Linked DNA regions of Caenorhabditis elegans. The protein of the gene in region 1 purifies or fractionates together with the protein of each later gene. This does not show direct contact. Each region holds a gene or a part of one and is shown on either strand. Other genes may lie near its edges.

What was found. The genes of interacting proteins can lie anywhere in the genome.
Region 2: the proteins of F15E6.6 (region 1) and M18.3 fractionate together in Caenorhabditis elegans (co-fractionation; one large-scale study listed by BioGRID). This does not show direct contact.
Region 3: the proteins of F15E6.6 (region 1) and F52E4.5 fractionate together in Caenorhabditis elegans (co-fractionation; one large-scale study listed by BioGRID). This does not show direct contact.

The regions. Positions count from the first base shown.
Region 1 is NC_003282.8:4,276,583-4,286,712, forward strand, and holds F15E6.6 (Xanthine dehydrogenase), read right to left. Parts: upstream 7,539-10,130; 5' UTR 7,537-7,538; coding exon 7,437-7,536; intron 7,380-7,436; coding exon 7,146-7,379; intron 7,002-7,145; coding exon 6,691-7,001; intron 6,642-6,690; coding exon 6,506-6,641; intron 6,460-6,505; coding exon 6,337-6,459; intron 6,295-6,336; coding exon 6,194-6,294; intron 5,777-6,193; coding exon 5,576-5,776; intron 5,521-5,575; coding exon 5,206-5,520; intron 5,158-5,205; coding exon 5,058-5,157; intron 5,014-5,057; coding exon 4,817-5,013; intron 4,773-4,816; coding exon 4,468-4,772; intron 4,421-4,467; coding exon 4,330-4,420; intron 4,281-4,329; coding exon 4,111-4,280; intron 3,862-4,110; coding exon 3,240-3,861; intron 3,197-3,239; coding exon 2,964-3,196; intron 2,916-2,963; coding exon 2,384-2,915; 3' UTR 2,243-2,383; downstream 1-2,242. Other genes in the region: nhr-78 (Nuclear Hormone Receptor family), read right to left, coding at 29-81, 471-536, 804-891, 1,067-1,129; srv-4 (Serpentine Receptor, class T), read right to left, coding at 8,840-8,891, 8,945-9,034, 9,546-9,727.
Region 2 is NC_003282.8:12,102,818-12,110,006, reverse strand, and holds M18.3 (Asparagine synthetase domain-containing protein), read right to left. Parts: upstream 4,150-7,189; 5' UTR 4,149-4,149; coding exon 3,732-4,148; intron 2,818-3,731; coding exon 2,649-2,817; intron 2,604-2,648; coding exon 2,470-2,603; intron 2,420-2,469; coding exon 1,971-2,419; intron 1,915-1,970; coding exon 1,656-1,914; 3' UTR 1,614-1,655; downstream 1-1,613. Other genes in the region: col-129 (Nematode cuticle collagen N-terminal domain-containing protein), read left to right, coding at 366-1,235; mon-2 (Monensin-resistant homolog 2), read right to left, coding at 4,587-4,883, 4,933-5,090, 5,228-5,412, 6,363-6,676, 7,170-7,189.
Region 3 is NC_003284.9:3,084,215-3,090,358, forward strand, and holds F52E4.5 (Fucose-specific lectin), read right to left. Parts: upstream 3,132-6,144; 5' UTR 3,118-3,131; coding exon 3,015-3,117; intron 2,963-3,014; coding exon 2,862-2,962; intron 2,814-2,861; coding exon 2,661-2,813; intron 2,449-2,660; coding exon 2,254-2,448; intron 2,206-2,253; coding exon 1,768-2,205; 3' UTR 1,614-1,767; downstream 1-1,613. Other genes in the region: twk-16 (Potassium channel domain-containing protein), read left to right, coding at 1-91, 150-261, 315-466, 527-801, 851-959, 1,005-1,122.

The sequences.
Region 1 (10,130 bases):
GCAGAGAAAAACACGTATTCAGACTTACTTCGATTCCATTTGCTGTCGATGCGTCTGGTCGTCCTTTTTTCGATTGAACCACTGAAGTTTGTATACTTTTGACATTTTTTTGTGCATAAATTTAAAAAAAATTTCATATTTTATTATTTTTAATGCAAAGTTTGAATTCCTCACTATTTTCTTAGCCGATTCCTGAATTTTCAGTCAAAAAACTCCTAATGTCGTAAAATAAGGTGTCTCGTACGTGGACACTCGGTGTTTGCGTACTTATGGGGCTACAGTAATCCAGATAACTTCAAATTTGTGCTAGAAAGTTTTAGTGTTCATTAATTGAGCTTAAATATAATAAAAAACTCACAACGTTTTTAAAATCTCGAAATTCAGAAAATTGTCCCAAAAAATTTTTTTTCGGATTTTTTAACAAATTTAATTTTTTAAAAAATTTAATTTGTAAATTATGTTTTACTCACAATATCTCTGCATATTATTATCAATACATTTCTGATATCGACATCGTTTGCAGGCCATTCGTCGTTCTGAAATTTTATTTTTTTTTTAATTTGCAGAAATAATTGTTTTTGAAAATTTATGTGATCCCAGGGGTGAAAGAATCTTGAGACAAATTATTTAGTTTTTCATTTCTAGGTCACCACTATCCTGTGATAGCCTAGAAATTCAATGAGTTAGGCCACCTATCAAATTTCGCTGTTTTTTCGAGTTTTTTCCGCTGTTTTCTTGTGAAACTTTATTGATAATTCTGTATAAATTCGGTCAATTCTAAATATTTTCAAAGTAATTATTACCAAAATTAACTTCACAATCCAAAGTTCCAGTGATGCAGTCATAGGTGATGTCCAGAGCAACTGTACGGCGGAAAAATGCGGCGCAGGCCTGAAAATGTGTTTCTTACTAAAAAAAATACGAAAAAACAATTTATGCCAGTATTTAAAAATTGAAACAAAAAATTAGAATTTGAATAAAAAATTTATCTTGAAATATTTCGAAAACAAATTTTTTCTTTTGTTCAAAATTTAAAAAAATTTTCAGTGAAAATCTCAACACTCACCTTACAACTTGGAGCTCCAAAGTGTAGCGAAAGAGCTACCGAGTCGCAAATTGCACATTTCATAGTTGAAATTTTTAATTAAAATTCAAAATAGTACTCCCAAATTTTAATTTTTTGAATTTTCTCCAAAAATTCGATAATCAAAATCAATATAATAAAATTAATAGCAATTTACAGCCAATTTTAAACAATAAAAGACTAAAAACTGAGGCTACACTCTAGCAATCAATTGTGGCGAGCGAGATAGCGCAGAGGGGCGAGAGGGTGGCGGACAGTTAGACAGTTATGGCTAGAGTACGTACTGGTGATGTTGACCAGTTATTAGAGATTGGGAAGAGTATAAAAAAATTGAGAAGATTGGGCCACCTGGAGAGGAATTATTTGCGTATTTCCAGGCGTTTCTTAATATTTTAATTTGAAATTGGAATTCTCCAACTATTATTTGGTACTTGTCAGTTTTTGCTCAAAAATCTTCAAATGCCCTAAAATAAGGCACGCAATAATTTTGTGTTTGTCAGTTACAGTAACCTCCTCCGAAAAGTTGAATTTCCCTGCAAAAAATGTCTTTTTTTAAAAGTAAATTTGAATTTCCCGCCAGAATTTTTTCTCGCAAAATTTGAATTTCCCGCCAAAATGCTATTATCTCAGAAAATTGTAAATACAATTTTATTTCGAATAATTTGAATTCCCGCAAAAAATCATTCAAAAAATTGAATTTCCCGCCAAAAATGTTTTTTTTTCAGAAAATTTGAATTTCCCACCAAAATTTTTCTTAATCGTTGCCCGTAAATCCACACAATAATTGCCTCGCCCTTTTAGGCCACTTCGTTCATTCACTCTCTACGATGTCGCCAAGACGCATCGTCGGCTAGCCAACCGACGATGGATTGACCCTGGATCTTTACCTAATTCTATCTTGTGTGTCTCATTCCTTTTTATTCCACCAATAAATTGGGATTCGTCTAAACTGTGTACTGTTATTCCTCATCGCACCGCTCATCTTCACTCGCCGCTTGACAGTTGCTCCGTGTCCTCCGCGCGTATTGGAATACGTCGTTTTCACCCGATGGGTTGACTCTCCCATTCGGTCTCGGGTGTCAACAGCTTTGGCAATGGGGGTCCTTCTAGATATATAATATTTGCTGGAACTGCTTGATCAAGAGTCCCACCCGAACTGTTTTTTTTTGTTATTTTACTCTTCAAATGATTGTGATGTCAATGATTTCCGGACGTCAGATAGTTTATGTGTGTTATTACTGATTATTTAATAAATGTTAACTATTTTGAACATGAGAAAACGAAGAATAACATACATCATTAGTTATTACACGAGCAGAGCTCTTGAATCTTGTCAGCGCTGAGTGGTGAGATTGTATCCACAAATTTATCGATTCCATTCTCCTTTCTCCAATCATCAATACAATTCATAATACACGAATGAACAGCTCCACATGACATCATCAGTGGTGGTTCACCAATTCCTTTTGATGAGTATACTTTTGCTCCATTTGCCTTGTTAATACCCAGGAGCTTCACTCTAAAGTCTTTCGGAACATCACTAGACTTCGGTATTTTGTATTGTCCCGCCGAGTTTTGATTCAGTTGTCCAGTTTCTTTATTGAAAGTTATTTTTTCACAAGTGACGAGCCCGTATCCCTGCATGAATGCTCCTTCGATCTGTCCAATGTCGATGGCAGGATTCAAGCTCTCTCCGACATCCATGACAATGTCCACACGGAGCAGACGGTTGTATCCAGTCATTGTGTCGACTTCCATTTCTACTGCACAGGCTCCTGTTGTATTATAAGGGTACTCAAACTCACCAATGCTGAGTTTTTCCCGGTCAACCCTGAAATACATATTTCAAATTCTACAGGATCAGATAGGAACGACTTACGATCCATATTCTGTGCACTGCAATGGAACATAGGCTCCATATGCATCTCGAATTGATTTTTCCCAATCACCATCGTTCTTATCAATGATCGGTTGCAGTCTAGACATTATCCTCTCACAACATGCCAAAACTGCCAACCCATTTGTATCTGCATTATGGCTTGCCCCTGTTTCCGGAGCATTCGTTATTTTGTCAGTGCTGCAGTCAACAATGGTGATGGTATCTATTGGTCTCTGGAATATTTTAATAAGTGAAGTTTGATGTGTGCTTATGAACCTTCAACGCCTCACTGCAGACTTGTAGCATTTTCTGATTGAGTCCCTGACCCATCTCAGTTCCACCAATTGATAGCTGAATAGATCCATCTAGATTGATCATAAGACTCGCTACACCATGCCCTGGTGGACCAGGATGGGAAAGTGCCAGACGGACTGATGACATCGCAATTCCTCTCTTTACAATTTTTGATGTTTTGTTGAAATTTTCAATAGTTTCCTTTCTCTTTTCAAAATCACTCCATCTGGTACAATATTCCCAACACTCGATATGTGCATCACTGTAAATGTTCCCACTGAGGTACCGTTTTTCTCCCTCGAATGCGAAATTCAGTTTCTTAACTTCCTCCGTGCTCTTCCCAACTTCCCGCGCAATTCTTCTCATCACGCCTTCACTAACGAGCTTCGCTTGTGGATTCCCGTATCCTCGAAAAGCAGTATTACTGTTCGTATTGGTTTTAACCGGGTATCCATCATATCGAACGGTTCCCATATTATACACATCATCCACAAATTGACCCATAACCATTGTGACTCCTTCTGTATGATCTTTAGACCATCCGCCGTTCAGCCAAGCCTGATGGTGAATTCCTTGTACTTTTCCATCGGAATTTATTCCTACTCTGTAAAAAATAATTTGATGCAGAGGTCAGCTGGGAAAACCGAAAGATGTTCGTGAATTTGTCAAGGGATACCTAAGCAAATAAAAAAAGTGGGCTCACTTACGGTGGGTTGTGGGACTATTTATGGCCAGAAAAGCTAATTCTTTGCAGATGCTCTTGGTTTTTTAAACATAATAATATTATATGAAACTTGCTTGCCCAATCTTGATTAATATGGGTGCTAGAAAGCCCCGTTTGTTTCTGACCAACCTATATTTTGTATAAACCCCATGCCGCTTCCCAGTAATTGCCAAATCCTCTTCCCTCGAAAGATACCCGTAAGTTGGACGATTGAGCTTCTTTGCAACAACTGAACATATACATGCAATCCAGGAAGCATTATTCAACTTCCCACCAAATGCACCACCCATTCGTTTTGTCTAAAACACAAGTGATACATCTAATATGTCAAATAATCTTCTTACTAACTTTTACGATGATCTTGTGTGCTGGGATTTTCATTGTTTCGGCAACCATTAGCTGAGTGAAACTTGTTCCTTGGGTTGAGCAGTGCACAATCCTGTAATTCTAAGATAAATTTTTTTCTCAAATTTAATGACATCTTACGACTCATCACCCTCCCCTGGAATCACCAAACTGCTCTGAGTCTCCAAGTAAAAGTGTTCTTGACTACCAAGGCTTGATTCTCCTTCCAAAACTTTGTAAGAATGTACCAAACTTTCATTGACCAAATATTCACTTTTCCCAAAATGCCGAACTTTTCCGAGCAGTGATTTTGCTACGATAGCATCTTTCAATTCAACTAATGCTGGTAGTTCCTTATACTCCAACTTAACCAATTTTGCAGCACGTCTCGCCAGAAGAACATCGTTCGCAGCGATCACTCCGACCACTTGACCAACCGATTCTACCTGTCAAAAACACAAATAATTGAACTTATTGAACCCACGCTCACTTTCTTATCGGCAAATATAGTAGCGTCGTCTGGAAGGTTCATATTTGAAATTTGAAGACCAGGCGAGTTATTTCCAGGTACATCAGAAGCCCCAAAGAAACCGACAACACCTTCAAGCTTCAATGCTTCAGTAGCATCTATACTAAGTATTTCAGCATGCGGGACTGTAGAAAGTACAAAACCGAGATGAACAGGATCTGAAATCAATAATTGTTTTGGATTGCTTTTAATACAGTCGTACTATATGTTTGAATGTCGTTCACATAAAGAGCTTCCCCTGTAATTGCACGCTCGTTAAAATAGTTGGCAAGCGGCCTTCCAACGGATTTGCGTTCAGTTGGCTGAAATCAACAAATTTAAAGTTTTATTTCAGATAGTTTCATTTCTACCTTGAAGTATTGAAGGTAATTTAATCCATCAACTGTTTCGGCTGTCTTTTCCACGTTTTTCATAAATTTGGAGAGCCTCGTGAGAGCAATTTTTATATTTTTGTTCTCACCCATCCCACTCGTTTTACAAAGGTCAGGCACATCCAAATTTTTCAGGGCAAAAATATGTTCTTCCAAGGAAGTCAGCCGCTTTGGTGGACCGCCAAGCCCAACGAAAATCCTGCTGATGTTGTTTCCAACAAGAGCAGCAAAGTTGAAGCTTGTGGAATCTTGTTCGCTGGTTTCGCCGAGTTTCAGGCAGAAAAGTTGACCAGTCTAAAGTTTAAAAAAAAAAATAATTTGATTCTCGAGTCAAAATAAAATAATTTACAATAGAACTTGAGAAGACGGTATTGACTATTGTGTTAGTAGCGAACAACTTTTTCTCTACGAACTCTTCTATGTTCACTTGAGTGAGATCTCCTGAATCGGTGAGCAAAGTTAGCTTAGCGTTGAGCACATTGAACAGGAGCAGCAAGTCGCTAACAGATATTGAAGATTTGGCTCCAGAAACGATACCTCCAGTCCAGGTCTGAAACGAACTGTGATAGCTTGGTGAACAATTAATGCAAACTGAATGCTAATGTTACGAGACAAAGGAGACATAAGGTCACAATAGCTTAAACGAGCGATTAATGGAAATTTTCACGGTGGAACATCAGCAGTTTGAAACTGCAAACGCGCTTAACCGAACAAACGGTGGCACAGTCAGGTTGGGAATGTATAAACTTTAAATTGTCTCTGTTCAAAAAACAACGGATTTTATTGCGGTCATTTTTTATATGCAGCGCACAACGCAATCTTAGAGAGTTTTTGAGACAGCAGAAAATATAGGTTTTTAGACTGAGTATCATGAAGGGGGTCATCTAGTTTTTGTGCTGCAAATGTGCTCTAAAAATAGGTGTAACACCGACGTTAATACAATACTCCGTTCTCTGAAAAAACTCACAGCAAAATTTGCAATCTGTGGAGAGGAGAATTTTTTTATAAATGCATCGACTTCTTTCCCGATATTTTGGCTTAATGATCTGGAGAGGATGTCAGACATTTCTGAATTTATGATTTGCTCCCAGGAAGAATTAAGTTACTTACTCTGAATATTTACCGCAGCACCAATCACCACGGTTTCTGGATTTTCAATGACCTCATTAAACTCTTTCACATATTTGGTTGTAATCCACTTTTGAGAAAACTCTTTTGGGTTACGGGTTGCTACTGAAAAATGCATTTAATTTCTAGGCAACTGTGTAGCAAAATTCACTAAATCTAGTTATAAGCCCGGAAGAAATGACGGTTCGATCTTTTTTGAACTCTTTGAATTGCTCAATACTTTTTGGTAGTAGAAGCTCAATCCTGTCACCTTTAAGTGTAACTGGGTTTTCAGAGTCCACAAAGATCTGTAAAAAAAGTTCTTACTATTAGTATTTTTCTAAACCTTCAACATACTCTGAGCGAAGGCGGAAAAATGATTTCCTGCGAGGGATCATATTCTGGGAAATCATTGAACGAAGTGAGTTTTTCATACGCTTCGTCTTCACTGCTTAAATCTTTACAACATCCTGCTCCAGCTTTTTTACCCCCACAGCATCCTCCACCACTTGACGAGAAACTGTAAAGAGCTTCAAGAATCGGTCGGTATCCGGTGCATCTGCATAGATTAGCTCGGATCGCTGCATTTATTTGTTCAATCGTAGGGTTCGGATGATTACGGAGGAGCGCATATGCTGACATTACAAATCCGGGTGAGCAGAAGCCGCCTGAAGCCGAAAGTACTGGTTGAAGCATGTTTAATTGCTAAAGGTTGAACTGCCGCCTCAAGGATCTAAGGAATAGCGAGATCCGTTCTGGGTAAACCCTAGAGGCTGACTATGTGGGAAGACACGATTTCTCACAAAACCTACATTGCACCGCATGTCCTCTAGCCATTCTATCCTGAATCGGGTGAATCTTATCCCGACTTCCAACTCCTTCCACAGTAATCACAAAAGTCTTGTGAACATGAAACAATGGGACCAAACATGCATTGACTGCACTGTAGACTGCCTTGTTAAGAGAATCATCCCATGTACCAAGAACAACAGTACAAGATCCACAGACACCTTCTTCACAACCTAGCTTTGTTCCTCGAAGACCCACTGGAATATTACAACGTTAGGCAGATAACGTCATCATTTAAATAATTGTGACCTTACACTTGTTTCTCAAATAATACGCCAATGTTAGTTCGGGATCCACATTTTCTTCTTTAATATCTTTTCCATTCACATTGAAGAATATACCAGTAGGTGGCATCTGAAATCCGCTTAAAGAAATGACTGAATTCCAATTGACTCATTCGGGTGCATGATTAATACAAATAGGAAAAGATTAAGGAAAACAAGTTGGGGTTGGTAAATATGTTTTTTTTTTCAAATAATTTTAACTGTTACTTTAAGCGAATTGTTCAATTTTAAATTGGCAAAAAATGTAATTAAAACATGTAAGCATGTAAAGAACAAGTATGGGCGTTCAAGCGATAAGAGAATAATTGTAATCGAAAATCATGTTCTTGTAAATAAAATGTTGTTTGTTATGGATATGGATACAACTCACAAGTCAAATTGAAATTTGAATTTCCCTCTTTTTTTGAAAACCATCAAAAAGTTTCAAAAATAATTCAAATTCTGAATTCCTACAAAAAAAATTACAGTATAGTAGACATCAGGGGTGGGCGGCATTCGGTAAATTTATTTGCCGACAATGGCAAATTGCCCGTTTGCCAATTTGCCGGAAATCTTTACTTGTGGCAAATTGCCGTTAGTCGAAAATTTATGGAATCTCTTTAAACTGTTCTTTTTTGAAGTTTTTTCCTCGTTTTTTCAAAATATTTTCAAAAAATTGCCTCATTTTTCTAAATAGATATAGAAAAATTCATATTATGCGTACAGTTTCGCAGACTAAAATTGAAATTCTAAAGCTTCAAAAAAGAATGTGCAAAACAACAATTTGCCTTTTTTTTCGGCAAATTCGGCTAATCGGCAATTTGCCAGTTTGTCACCCACCGCTGGGTTACATAACATAACTTATACGGCAGAGTACGGCTATTGGGGAAAGAAATACTGAAACTTTAAAAATGTAAAGCACAGGCGTCTTTTCGAACCCCTACAATTTTGAAATATGAATATAATTAAAACATAAAACAGGTAGAAAAATGTTTTTTGATCGACGACTTCCAAAAAATAGGTATATTTTTGATTCGACAACATTGAAAAACTATTAATCATTTCCCTAATGAAGAGAGTCAATGAGCAAATAATATCAAACAACCCTTCGTCAAAAATCATGCTCGCATTATCAGAGTAGAAAGAAAATGGCAACATTAATACAGTCTTTGGTATCTATGCAAACAGTTTCGCAACATTGATGATAACAGACCTATAACTTACAGAAAAAAAGATGGAGCATGTCAATTCTGAAAGTGTTTCTAGTTAAAAAACGGGTTTCATACTGTCTACTTCAAATTGATATACAATTGTTTTCTAAAAATTTACAATTTTTTTTACAAGACTATTCACAAATTAAAACACAAAAAAAACATTGCAGTCGAGTAAAAATATTAAAATCTAGTAGACAACATTGAAGAAATATTTTCCTGTCGTTTTCTGCATCTGAAACTTTGAAATTTCAAAATTATTTTTAGTTTTTTTTCTTAAAAACCAACCTTTTCGGTATAAATTCCTTTCGCAATTTTGAGCTACTCACTAGTAAGCTCCACGGAGAACTGATGCACATTATTTCCGTAGTGAAGAACCTGGGAAAATGAAATGTTCGTAACTTTTTGATGTGAAATTCAAATTCACCATGTTTCAATTTGCGTATCCATCAATTTTAAGCTCGAAAGCTCCAAGTTTCACAAAAAACGGTGTTTGGTACGCAATCATTCTGCGTTTGCGTACTTTTGGCGCTACAGTGATCCGGAAGTTTTAAGATTCTCAGAATATGCTTTCAAATTGACAAGAGTTGTGAAATTTAGAATTTGGTAGTAATTTTTCAGTCATTTTCTTCAAAACTTCGGGATAAACTTCATTATTGTTGTTTTTTTGAAAATTTTTCATTTAAAATCAGTTTCGTGAATTTCGGTGTTTGGTACGCAATCGTGCGTACTCTTGACGCTACAGTAGCCCCAAAATTTTCAAATGCAAGCTAGGGACTTCTCGTTTTTTGGAATTCCACTGAAATTTGACAGAGATTCTTGGATTGAATGCAAATTTGGAAAGTTCCAGTTCCAAACTTGAATTTCAGCAATTTTTCTCAAATCCTACCAAAGTTCCGTTCCAATATCCACCAGTTGAGGATTAGTGGAGAAATATAAAACCATTGTTTTTGCGAAATTTGGCACAAACAGAACAAATGAGAAAAATGCACATTTGAAAATAATTAGGTCTGTTGGTGGGTTGAGATTTGAAGATTCCGATCGATTAATACTGAAGAATGTGTTTGACATCTGAAAGTAATACTGAATGAACTGAAAATTTTAGGTAAGAAGTTTGTATTCGCTGTTATTCAATTAGTCTTGTCGAATAATTTCAGCTTGAAAGCTCTCAGTAACCTATGGTGTTTGGTACGCAGTCACTTGGTTTTTGCGTACTTTTAGCGCTAGAGTAACCTAGAAATTTTTAAATTAATGCTAGAAACACCTGGTTTTTTTTATTTTGACAGAAAACGTTTAGTTTATGCATTTCAAAATTTATTCTCAAAAGTTTCAAGTGTGTAAAAAAATTTCGTTTGACTACAGGTGTAATTTCTTTTCGAAATATTCATTCTTGAACTGACAAAATATATTATTTATGTTTATATTTTTTAGATTTGGCATTACATTTTAAGTTATTAATGTGATTCCGGGAACA
Region 2 (7,189 bases), 7.8 Mb from region 1:
TTATGAGGTTATTCGAGTAATGTTGCAAAACGTATTTAAATACATTTATGACGTCACAGCTGTATGAAATTACATGTTTTTATGTATTTTGATACAGTTGTGACGTCATTTTTCTACACTTTTTAATTTTGTGAGACAACTTGAATAACCCATATAACTTGACATTTGTCAATTTAAAAATACGAAAACACTACTAAGCATTTTTCATTTTGATTATATAGTTAAGATACTTTCATTCAAAGAGCTCTAAAATTCATTTTTCAAAAATTTGGCAATTGCCAAAACTTTTACTGAAAACTCTAAGAAAAAACATTTTAGACGTAACTGCATAAATTAATAGATTTTCTTAAATTCCGACATTTCAGGACGATGCTAATACCGTCTGGCACCAAATGATGACTGTTGTCCCACAAGGAGGCAAGCAACGTCAAGTCTACGAGTCCCTGTTCGGTCGTACCAAGCGTCAAGCTGCCCAATGTAACTGCGGAGCCAACTCTGCTGCCAGCAACTGCCCAGCTGGACCACCAGGACCACCAGGAGCTCCAGGAGAGGACGGAGATCACGGATTGGTTGGAGAGGATGGAACTCCAGGAGCTGATGGAAACCTCGGTGTTCCACTTTCTGCTAATGGATGCATTGTGTGTCCAGCTGGACCACCAGGACCACCAGGTCAACCAGGACAGAATGGACAACGCGGAAGTGATGGACAACCAGGACAAGATGCTATGGGAGGAGGACAAGGAGCTCCAGGACCACAAGGACCAGCTGGAGATAATGGACAACCAGGAAGACCAGGAAATGACGGACGACCAGGAGCTCCAGGAGCACCAGGAACTCGATCTGTTGGACGCCCAGGAACCGCTGGATCTCCAGGACCACAAGGACCACCAGGACAAAACGGAAATGACGGTCAACCAGGAAATGATGGAGCTCCAGGACAACCAGGACAGCCAGGACCAGACGGACACCCAGGACAACCAGGAAACGCTGGACCACCAGGAACTCCAGGAGCTGCTGGACAACCAGGAGGTGATGCTGCCTACTGCCCATGCCCATCCCGTTCCTCAGTTGTTCGTGCTCAAGCCGCTGTTGCTCGCAACCGTCACGTCGCCGCTAGACATCGTTCGGTTTCCCGTAGAAAGGCAGTTGCCGCCAGAAGATCCAAGGCTCGTCGTGTTGTTGCTGCCAAGCACCGTGCCGTTGCCAAGAGACATCGTGCCGTCCAAAAGGCTTAAATCATTCCTTTTCAGTAATAAACATAGATTGCATTCAATTTAACATGTTTTCCAATATTTACAAGAAATTCGTAACATCAATACAGAAACCTACAAATTTATACTTGAAGGGGAAATTTTCTTGAATATATTCTGAAACGACTTGAAATGAGGCGCATTCAAATACAAGGTATGAAATAATGTAGTGTTCTGTTTGATTAAATTTAATCCAAGAGTCTACGAGTTTTGGAAGCGAAAAAACTAATTATTTGCAAAGTTACCTTGAAAAACTTAAACACCGTTTTCGCCTTTTTCGATCACTTAAAAAAGGAAAAATCTACATTTCTGCTGAAATTACATCCTCTTTATCATGTGGAAGAAAGTTATTATTAACAGTACCCAAATTATCAATTTATTTTTCAACAAGTAATCATTCAAACATCAATTCACATCAGTTTTCAATAAATGCGGAGATTTATCACTTCCTTTGATAGAATTATCACCAGCGTTGCTCATTTTTGCCATTCTCGATCCAAATTGCATTGCCTGTTTCGGAGCATCATATGGGGATCCCAACATTTTCACTGTCTCTCGGAGCAATTGTTTCTCTCCAACTCCACGTGGCAATGATAGATCCCATTTGGAATCGACTGGAAGTGCGTTGAGCCAAGTGACTACGGTATCTTCGAGAAGTGGAGATCTGAAATATAACAAAAATCATATTATTTTTTTTATTAGGAGATTTTGAAAACTTACAAAATGGTCTTCCCAAGTTGAGCAGCAACTCTAGCATCTCTTCCTCCATTTCTCGATCCCAGCCTTCGCAATTCATTTTCACATTCTTCCGCTACATTTTCTGGAATTTGTTCCTTCTCAAATCGAGTTCGATGCCTTGCGTATCCGGCAAGAAGTTCATCTGCTCCTGATCCCAGAAGGCATGTAGTTGCAGGTGACCTCACTGATTGTTGATTCTCACTATCAACTCCTTCGGCTCTGACAGCAAACCACAGAACACAAGACAGTGAGTCATCAAGTACTGAACTCGCTGGTTGAGCTGCATCTGAGATAGATTCTTTGCGATTCACTTCGAGGGTTTGGCTATCAACGTTGACAAGAATGAGGCGAAATTGGCGAGTTGGGTATGCAGTTCGAAATGATTCCAGCGCCTTTCTGGCACGTTTACGATCAGGTGCTTGTTCACATTCCTATAAAATATAGATTTATTATTCGATATTAAATTAAAATAAAAACTCACTTTCTCACTATTACCAAATGCCACATTAATTAGATCAATTTGCATATTCTCTGGAACACTTGAATGTACAACATGAGCAACAAATGTAGAATCGACACCTCCAGACAAGCATACTGCCACGTGGCTTTCATGATCTAAAGTTAGATGTTATAAAAGCGATTTCATTAGAAAAAACAAACAATTTTTCAATAGAATCTTAGTCGCATCGATAACTTTTTGAAAGAGATCTTTGGTATTAAATGAGTCAATTTCTCCTCCAGTTGATCTACTAACATTCAATAATCCATGTTTCTTGTTGACCACAATTCGAGAGATATCCGACCCAGAAAAGTAGCCATCCAATACATTCTGTAATGATATAGCATTTATTGTCAGAAATAAGTAATAAATGCCTAAGCATCAAATATAGTAAAACTTTTAAAAATATGGAATTGTTTTTTCAACTAATTAATTATATTTTTATTTGTATTAGGTAGAATATCGTCCGTGGGGATTTTGTATAAATATCAATGTTTTGGTAATTTGTATTAAATTTGGACGTTTTGAAGAATTTCGAGCATTGTGGCAGGTTTGAACTCCTATTACGGGAACACAAAATTCTGAGAATGTGTATTTATTGCGAAAAAATTTTGACGCGCAAAATATCTCGAAGCGAAAACTACATCAATTATTTAAATGACTACTGTAGAGCTTGTGGTGATTTACGGGCTTGAAATTCGATATGATTTTTTTTTCGAATATCGACAGTGATTTTCAATTTTCGAAAAATTTTCCTTCGTTTCTTCGTAGGATTTTCTAATTTTTTGCTGAATTTTGATATTCAATCGATAAATAAAGTATTTTTGTCATTTCGAAAATCGAGCCCCGTAAATCGACACAAGCTCTACAGTAGTCATTTAAATAATTACTGTAGTTTTCGCAACAAAATATTTTGCGCGTCAAATATGTTGCGCAATATGCATTCTCAGGTTTTTCATAATAGAATGTTTGAAAAAAAAACCATACTATGATTAGAATTCAAAAATCGTAGAAAACCACTTTTTTACCGACACATCCGAAATTATAATGAAGAAAACGAGAATTCACCAATTCTTGCTTGAAATTTGAATTTTTTAAAAAGTTTCTATTCGGACATTTCAACACTTTACGAATTCTGAAAATTTTCCGAATTTCAGCAGTTCATCGGAAAATTTTCGGTTTTTTAAAAAAGAATATTCAGGCAAATTCTCCACTGGCGGTACTTCATATAAAATTGCACAAACCTCTGGATACTCGTCAAGATATGAATAAATAACTGGATCAGTTGAATCAAGACTAAAAACAGTCACTTGTCCGAATGGAATTTCAATCCATTTCCCAGATGTTTCTGGCTTTGTTCTACATCCAAAAATCATCGATTCGAAATTAAAAACCAAAGATTGTCTTCCAAAAACATCTCTTCCAATGAAAAGTTTTTTCAATTTCTGATTATAATAAATAATGCTCCAGGATCCTTGTTGCTCCAGAATTTCATTAACAATACTATTAACTGATCCATTTGAGAGTTTTGAAACATGAAGTTGTGAGGTGGTTCCAGAATAAACAAGATAATCTTCTTCAATCATTTTGATATATCCTTTTAATTCCTCGCCCAATGTTTCATCCTTTAAATGCCACCATCGATTGTAATCAATGCCCATTCTGAATTTCAGTTCTTTTTCCAAATTTCATAATAACTGGCAATAAGAAATCTCAGAATATTGACAGAAAAAAAAAATAGTTTCAAAGTCATTGCATTTAAAATTGGATAGTTTTATTACTACAAAGAATGAAAAAGACACTATCTCACAACATAATAGTCCGGGATATCGATTGAAGTAAATCATCATCAAAAAAAAGAAGCGGGAAGTGTTTTTGCGTTGAATCACAGAAAAAAATGAACTCGTTATTCTGAGGGTACTAGTACTCGAAACTATACAAGATTTTGAAGCAAAAAAAAAGAATATGAATAAAAATAGGATAAAGGCAACTGTGTGTCGATCGATAGTCGATAATTTAATAACCCATATGCTAAATGAAGACAGAGTGAAACTGGAACCAATAAATAAAATAAATATGGCTACTGGAGGGTGACGTGGCTATTCCACGGTGGCTTGTGGAATATTTTGAAGAAGGAAGAGTGTTTGATATGATTTGATTGTCTTGATCAGTTGATGTTCCAGTTGAGGATCAGCATGGCAGCAAGGCATCACATCAACAACCGATGGAAATAGTGAAACTAAGTGCGAGTAGAGTTCAGTCATTTTTGGATCTCTTGCAAGTCGTGCAATTAGTGAGTCAACAGCTTGAAGTGCAGATATGATTTCTAGTATTCTGGATCTAGGTAAACGAAGATCTCCAGCAGCAGACCAATCTTTGCAGAAATCAGACATAACCTAAAATCAGAGTAGTTTGTGTCTTTATCGGACCTATTTTTGATCCTACCTGTGTGCATCTTTGTAAAAGACTTGTCACAGCAACATTTCCAAGAATTCCTCTTCCTTCGTCTTCTTCAGTATTTGTATGTGCTCCATCAGATGACATCAATAGAGCATCAAAACAGGCCTTTGCCAGCTCATTTCGTTGAGTATGCGAGTCTGAAGCTGAATTCGAGGGTTGTTACCGAGTACACCGAAAACATGCAATCAGAATGGAGAAATGTGGAAAGGAATACCAACACCAACTAGTTTTGTGAGAAGTGTTAGAAGTAAAAAGAAGACGATTTCTCTCGAGCACTTACCAAGAACATCTGTAGAATCGATTTGTGAAATGGAGCCACGATGAAGTAGTGCAATCAGCCGTTGAACATCTTCTTGTGGTAAACGGGATGCATATGCGAGCATTTCACTTCGAATTATTTCAATTGCCTGACATTCCATTAGTTCATCACGTTTTCTTTCGTCTGCTGCCAGTCTCGTTGACTTGCTAGAACCGCAGCGAAAAATCAAAGATTAGAATTTTAAATTAATTGCATTTCTATTTAAGCTATATAAAGAGTGAAAAATTTAAAAATTTCCATAACGAAAATTACATATTTTCAATAAAAATATATAGTTTTCTTTTTTTCGTACATTTTTCAACACAAGTGTTTTTTTTTCAAATTTCTAACAATCGATGTTTTGAATTTCTCTGAAAAAAATTCGAAAAACCGAAAAAATTGAAGAATATTTTCGATTGAAACTATTGATCCATATTCAACATTTAGCAATTTCGCCCAAAAACTACGGTACCTGGTCTTGACACGACCAGTTTTTGCAAATACAAGAGACTATTCGTCTTAAAGGATTACTGTAGCTCACGATTTAAAAAAAATTCTATTCAAGTGAAACATAAATTTTAAAGGCAAACAACGCCGGGTTTGGAACGAAATACAGCTGTAGAAAAAATATAGAAATACTTCTAAAATTATTTTTTTTTAAACTAAAAATGCTGGTTTTTCGAGTCTCAAACAGCAAAAAAAATATTGCGAGCTTTTGCGATTTTTCCCTCAAAAATACAGTATGTGTACCTTTGAAAAATCAATTTTTTTTTGTTTTTTTTTGAATTGTAGTCATTCTCAATTTTTTTAAAATTTGAATTAGTTTGTAAATTTTGATGTTTTGATTTTTTTTTTCGAAATATGAGACTTGGAAAATGTATCTAAATGTTCTTAATTTATCTGAAAGTCATCGAAAAAGCTTTAATCTAAAATTAGTATGTATATTTTTGAAACAGAATTTTTTCGATAGTTCAGAAAATCAAGCATTTGAAAGAAAAGTTATTTAAATGTTTCTTTCGAATTAATACTGAAGAAGCCTTCTATTACACCTATACTAATTTTCCCCATGAGACTTTTTTTGTTGAAAATTTCCAAAATCAAATCTAAAATAACTTACTTTGGAGTAAAAAGCCATCTTTCCATAGTATCACAAATTGCAGACCATAAACCTCGAAAAACTTCTGGATTCTGACGAGCATATGGAATGGATGTTCTCAAGACAGACATCAGAGAAGTTGCAGCAAGTTTCCAAGTACTTGCAGAGATACAAGTGTACTTCATGTAAAGTGGTTCTCCGAGGAATTTTATGATATCAATAGCAATGAGCGAGTTGGCAACTTCTGGATTCTGTGATGTTGAAGTAAAGAATTCGATTGCAATTCGGAGAGAATATTCGGAAAATGGAACAATTGTAGTCAGGGCGTAGTCTCTCTGAAAATTTAAATTATTTATTCAAATTAAATAATTCTTTGCTTTGTTATACCCAACATGGTCTCAGAAGGGCGAATTTAAAAATAATATTTCTCAAAATTTCGAAAAAAGCCAAATTCTGCTAAAATCTTATTTTTCAAAGAAATTTATATTTTTCTTATTTTTTTTCTTTCGCATAACCGTAATACGATAAAAATTGAATGTTTTTGGTACCAACTGTGGTTACTTAATAAAGATTTTTTTTTCGATTTTTCGATTTTCCCAGCGAAAAAACAAAAATATTCCGTCTATCGATTTGTCTAAAATTGAAATTTTTTGACAAGCATGTAAATTAACGCGAGATCAACTAATAAAATATGTACGATTTTTGCGAAATTTCGTTTTTTTTTTGAAATTTTGACCTGTCATAATTGTTTTTGATCAGCACCTTTTTCGAAATTCGTGCACATTTTGAGTCCATACGAGCAATATTCCTTCAATAAAAAACACTTACATAGCTCTTCTGTCCACCAG
Region 3 (6,144 bases), on another chromosome or scaffold:
ATATTGGTTCTGAATATATGAAAAAACTTCACTACTGGGGCAAGAAAATGAAGAATGCCGCGCAGACAAGAATTTGGTTTGGTGGAAAAACGTAATTTTATTTTTATTTTTGAAAGACCACATTAGTTGAATTATGTTAAAATTTTCAGTTTAAAAGTCAGAGACCTCCTTCATGCAGTGGGTAAGAAATGTGGCGTAGAACCAGGAATGATTGATGCATTGGATTTGGAAAATGTTGTAGAGCGGACAATTGCTATGCAGGTTTTTTTTTCAAATTTTTTTTGCTCATACAAATTTTAAAAGTAATTTTTCAGGAAGGACGGGAGCCGCCCGAGGATTTGAACGATGAGCCACCACGTGAGCCATCTCCTCGTTCAATCATTCATTCACCGTGTTCCACAAGACCATCGAATCCTCCAATGAGCCCACCATCTCCACGAGAAGACCACCCATTTATATTCAAAATGTACTGCAAAGCCAATTTATATTTCTGAATCTCTCATTTTGAGTGTTCTCTTTTTTTCAGGGATGCTCCTGCTCCTCGAAGCCCATTACCATTGCCGGCATATGAATTGGATATCAAAAAGCCGATATTTCAGGCATTGTCCAATGAGTTTATGAACCAATCGGCGCAGGAGAAGTTGTTTAATGATCTCGATACTTTTCAAATTGAAATTAATACTGAGCTAGTTGAGGATCATAAATGTGAAAGTGTTATCATTATTGAACCACCAGCAACATTTGAAGACATGACTATACAACACAGTCTTTGTGTTGAAGATTATGAGAGGGAAGAAAAAGGTTATTGATTATTCGATGATTGTTTTATTATCAAATCAACAAATTTCAGTTCCGAAACGATTCCGCGAAAAGAAAGAAATGTATGGTCGAGACCCGCGTAAACTGTATGAAACTTATCAAGAGGAATGGGATAGATTGGAACGGTTATCAGATAGGAAGTAAGTTGATCAGATTGATGGACTTCAATGACAAAACCAATTAAGGCACGGTCCGAGAAGGAAGTCAGTTTTGAACTTATCAAACTGTTCACCGGAACGAAGTGTTTCCCCATCTCCGATCAGGCATTCTTTAACTGGGGAGGGCCACAGAAGAGATTCGTAGTCCTGCGAAGAGTTTTACAAATTGCCGCAGATTTTGTATTTTGTTTAAATAAATAATGTATACATATTATTACTGCATTTTTACAAATTTTGATTTTCAGACCAATGTGAAAAAACTAGTTGAACATATATTCCGTTGATACACAATTTTGCAAATAGAACAGAAAAAGTTTTATTTCAGAAATTTCGAGTTCCAATTATGAATTTATAATTTTTTTTTGAGGGCATATTTTGAACTACTGCCTAACTGCTGTGGTAATTTTAGCAATTATCAAAGTTGCTGACTGCCGAAAACGCCAATTGTCCAAATGTTTGTAATTCTATAAACTCGTGGAGTTTAGAGCTTCGGATATTTGAATATTTGGGGCAATTCAAGTTTGAATTCTTTCTCAAACTAATAAATGGAATAAAGTTTACTGCGCATGATACAGTATTAAATATCGATATTTTAGGTAAAAGCCGACAAAACTACAATTCCAAATAAATATTAGAATAACTGTACTGAATATTTATTCAATTGTCAAACATAAAACTTACTCCCAATCCAATTATTTCAATTTTATTACTGGCAGAAATTATTTCAGAGATTCCCATAAATCACAGTAGGTTAAAATATAATTTTAAATACATTAAAACATTAAACAATTTAGATCGAATCAAGTTGAACTTTTGATACTGCAGCTTTGTTAACAGTGTAAAGAGTTGAACCGTCAAAAATATGCTCTCCCTCTTCGACAGTTTGAGGAAGTTGGACCCACTCCAAAGTAGACTTATCGTCAAAAATGTTTCCTTTGAGAGCCCAAACGGCTCCGTAGAAAGCGCTTCCCGTCATTCCTTTTTGAACACGGCCACCAGCGACAATGAAAGAATTGGTCTTCTTGTCAACAAATGAGCAGTTTGGACCAACGAAACCGTATTGGGGAAGAGAACTGTACTCTCCTTCAATATCAACATGACGAGCTGTTTTTGATTTCAAGTCAAAAACGAAGAAACGAGTTTTCTCCCAATTGAATCCACATCCATGAACAGCGTAGCTAATGAGCACTTTGTCATTGACAGTCTCAGCAATTACTGGAGATCCTCTCTGAAAACAATTTTTAATATTATAAAATTCTTGAACAATCTTCGTTACCAAATGGTTGTCATCAGAGTGAATTTGCGAGATGTTTTCGACAGTAGAAGAAGCTCCATTGACAGTGAGAGAATAGATTTGAATGTGACAATTGTCGTCTTTGAGAAGAAGAATAGTTTCACCATTTGAAGAAGTTCCAGCAGCAGCGATAACTTCAAATCTTTGAGTCTCAGTGAGGGTTTTGGTTTCTGGGGCCTGAAAAAACATTGTGGTGTATATCTAATAAAGGATGATGGTTCGAAAAAAAGTCAATTTCCAAAGCTTGTTCATATGCTGACAGTCTATGGGTCTATACGTACACTTTAGGTTTATATGTACCATATCGAATTTTAAACTAAAAAAAAAACTTACAGAAGTAATACTTTAAATTAATTTTGAAACAAAATTCTAATCACAGAATCACTCACATTTAACAAAACCTCATTGAAAGAATTACTATCCCATCTGAACAACTTTTGGAATCCAATTGCTCCAAAATTGACAAAAGCGAGAAGATAAAGCTGATTGTCACGAACAAACAACACTTCTTCCGAGTTTTCTTCGCTTACGAGCTCCGGGAACTGAAATTGTTTAGGTCTGAAATGACCAGGAAAACAAGGCAAACTCACATCATGTCTCTCCCATTTGTTGGATTCCTTATCAAAAGTCAGAACGTAAGTTCCTGCAAAAGCCACGCGATGTCCCCAGTTGTGATTTGGTTGAGCGACGTCTAAACAAGAAAATTGTTCTAAATTTGAAAAAAAATGTATATAAATGCTCACATTTGCGCCCCACCAAAGTCAACTTTCCGTCTTGAACGAACGAATAGTGATATTCGCATAGCTCTCCGTTGTTTCCAAAACCTTCAGCAATTTTCTCAGACATGATCAACTGAAAACATACATTTTAAATCAAAAAGAATTAGTACAAACATCTGAATATAACAAAAACGGAAGAAAGTTTATAAACGCGGCAGGTGAAGTCGGAAACCAGGAAGTAAAAAGAGAAAAAGGAAGATGTTCTGGGCAAACGGCCAAAGGTTGAACTCAATTCGTTCTTCTATAGAATTGACGGTTCAAAAAGACATTTAGACATAGAAGTCCTTAGAAGATTTCTAGAAAACTGGTTGCAAAACATATTCGCAAAACATTACGAAACGACTCTTTGCCGAATAAAATGAAAAATTTATAGAACATAATTGGACATATAATATTTTATGTGAGGTTTCAATAATATATTCTCAACAACTCAAAAGAAAACACATCCAAAAATCGATAAATGCGCAAGGTGAGAGGCAAAAATGGCTTAGAGAGCGGTGTATTTCTATTGGGGAAGTCCAGTTTTATACGTGTTGTTTGCCAGGTGGCCAGTGACTCATTGTGGGAAAATTGGGAGAATAAACAATATTGCGAAATCAAATATTCTTCATGAAATTTCCATGGAAAGAATGAACACTGTCGGAAAATATTGTTATGTAATTCTCACAGTGAACAACAACACGATTGTCCAAAAAAAAACTTTATTCATAATACTGCAAAGAAGGGTGAAAGTGAATCAAAATGGAACTTGACGTATTTGGTCAATAGCAGTAGTATTTGCTGCGAACATTTACGGGGAATTTGGTATTTGCTTTTGTCTGTGTACTGTAAATACAAAGAAGTTTTGATCAAAAGTAGAAGTACCTACTTTAAAAGTGGTAAATCTGAAAATTAAACAGTTTGATGTCTTGTAGGCTACCAAAAAACATCAGTTATACAGCATAAATTATGTTATTGTACTGAAAATAAAACATTCGAGCACATTGTTAAATCATAGCTAATCTTTATTTCGGCAGTGACCAAAATGGATATCCTCTGATATTTTCAAAGCTGCGGACTTCTGAATTTTCGAAAAAAAAAATTCATTTTCAAGAATATACAGATTGCAGGTTTTATAGATTTTGAGACACAAATTTATGTCAAACAGTGTTTTTTTAAAGCTCAATCAATTTAGACTAAATACGCAATTACCATAATTGGAAACCAGGCAGTAAGGATCTGGAACGAGAATCCCAATTTCTAATTCCTCTGAAATTAAATTCAATGTTTTGTTCTAAAGACAAAACTTTGGCTTATGTTGGTTTTTCGCTATAGTGTCAAAATATTTGAATATCATAGTAAAAGTTTTCAAAATTTTTTTAAAGTTTTCATTTACTGTCGAAAAGTGACAATCGCACGTGGTGTCAGAATGTCCCATTTCGTTGTGATCTACCAAAACTGCGGGAATTTAGACGCAGACTTCTCAACTGGTCTCGCATGGTTAAGAATGAGCTGACGTCACATTTTTCGGGGAAAAAATTCCCGCATTTTTTGTAGATCAAACTGTTATGGGACAACCTGACACCACGTGCAATCGCTCAGTTTTTGCACTCATAACTTTGGAAGTCGACCAAAAAAAAAGTTCTACGATTTTTATACTTTAAATTTGATTTAATTATTTGTTGTAAAACATTTTAGGGGTTAGAACATGCAATATTGCTCTGTGTTTCCTCAAAAGCTCTTTTTTGTTATTTGGCAGATTGCTAAAACATTAAAAAAATCTAAAATTTTCTGGTTGGTTTTATTATAATCTCCGATTTTTTTCAAAACATAAACATAGTTCAAATAATGGAACAAATCTATATTGTGAACAAAAGTGAGGAAAAATTTTATAAGTTAATGTTGTAACAATAAAGATTACAAAACTATTTCCAAAGTTTGTCTTCTCTCAGATATTTTTTGTTTCCATACACTATTTTAGTGCAAAGAGCAAAAAAATTTTCAACAAAGTTTCTGAGAGAAATTCTAGAAAATGTTACTTTGGAGTGATTTGGGAATTTTTAAAGTTTTGAAAATGTACCATATTTTGCATGTAGAATGCCACATTTTTTATCAAAAATGAGCCTAATGTTTTGAGAATTTTTAAAAAATCCTTTCGATGCATTTAAACATTTTCTATCAGGTTTCTACTTATATCGTGTTATCGTTTACTTTTTCCTTTTCAATTTGAAAAACCAAAGACATCACTTTTGTTATTCTCTCTACTTTTTCTTTTGAAGAACCTTGATTCGCAGGACATGTTTCAATGAAGTCGGAGAAGGTAAGAGAAAAGTGACAAGTGGTCTACAACGTTTGTTTTCAATTTGCGACACTGCACGCACAAAAACGCTCCGTTGAGAACCGATTTGATCTTGCTCTACGGCGTACAGTTTTGTGTTGTTATTATGTTGTTTTGATGTTGTTTCGATGGTCCGTCAATATCGACTGTCCTTCACAGTTAGTCTTCGAGCGGTGGTCTCTTGTGTCGCCTTTTTTTCTCATTTGTCCTCCCCCCCTTTACCACTGCGCAAATAGATTTGGGATCTAATGTATGTAAGTGCGCTCTACCGCAATCAATGGGTTTCTCCAAACAAATGCCCTTGCCATTTGAGAAACGAAACAGAATCTCTTGAAAACATTTCTGATAACCGATTCGTTTTAGTTTTCTACAATCAACTTCAAAGAATAATCATTATCTATCGATTCACTGATATAATTCTCGTGTTGTGACCTTATCAATCGACAAACAAGTCGATTACTCTGAATGTTCACATCAAAAACTCCTCACCCGTATTGCCGGCGTTAAAGTGAAAATCTTGAAACGATGGTAAACTATTATTTTTTGTTTTGTTGCCTACGTGCTGGCCCCCGACGTGTCCATCTCTATCTCTCTTCCCCGTGACCGTGGTGTGCACTGCTGCCGGGCGCGTTTCTCCCCGTCCTGTTCTCCTCACATCCCTTTCTGCGCGCTGCAATCTTCTAAATGTCACGCACACAGCAAAGTTGCACTACACTTGTTGGGACCTTCTTCTCTCCGAGCATTGACCGCTCAGTTTTTGTCCTCCCTTTTTCTCTT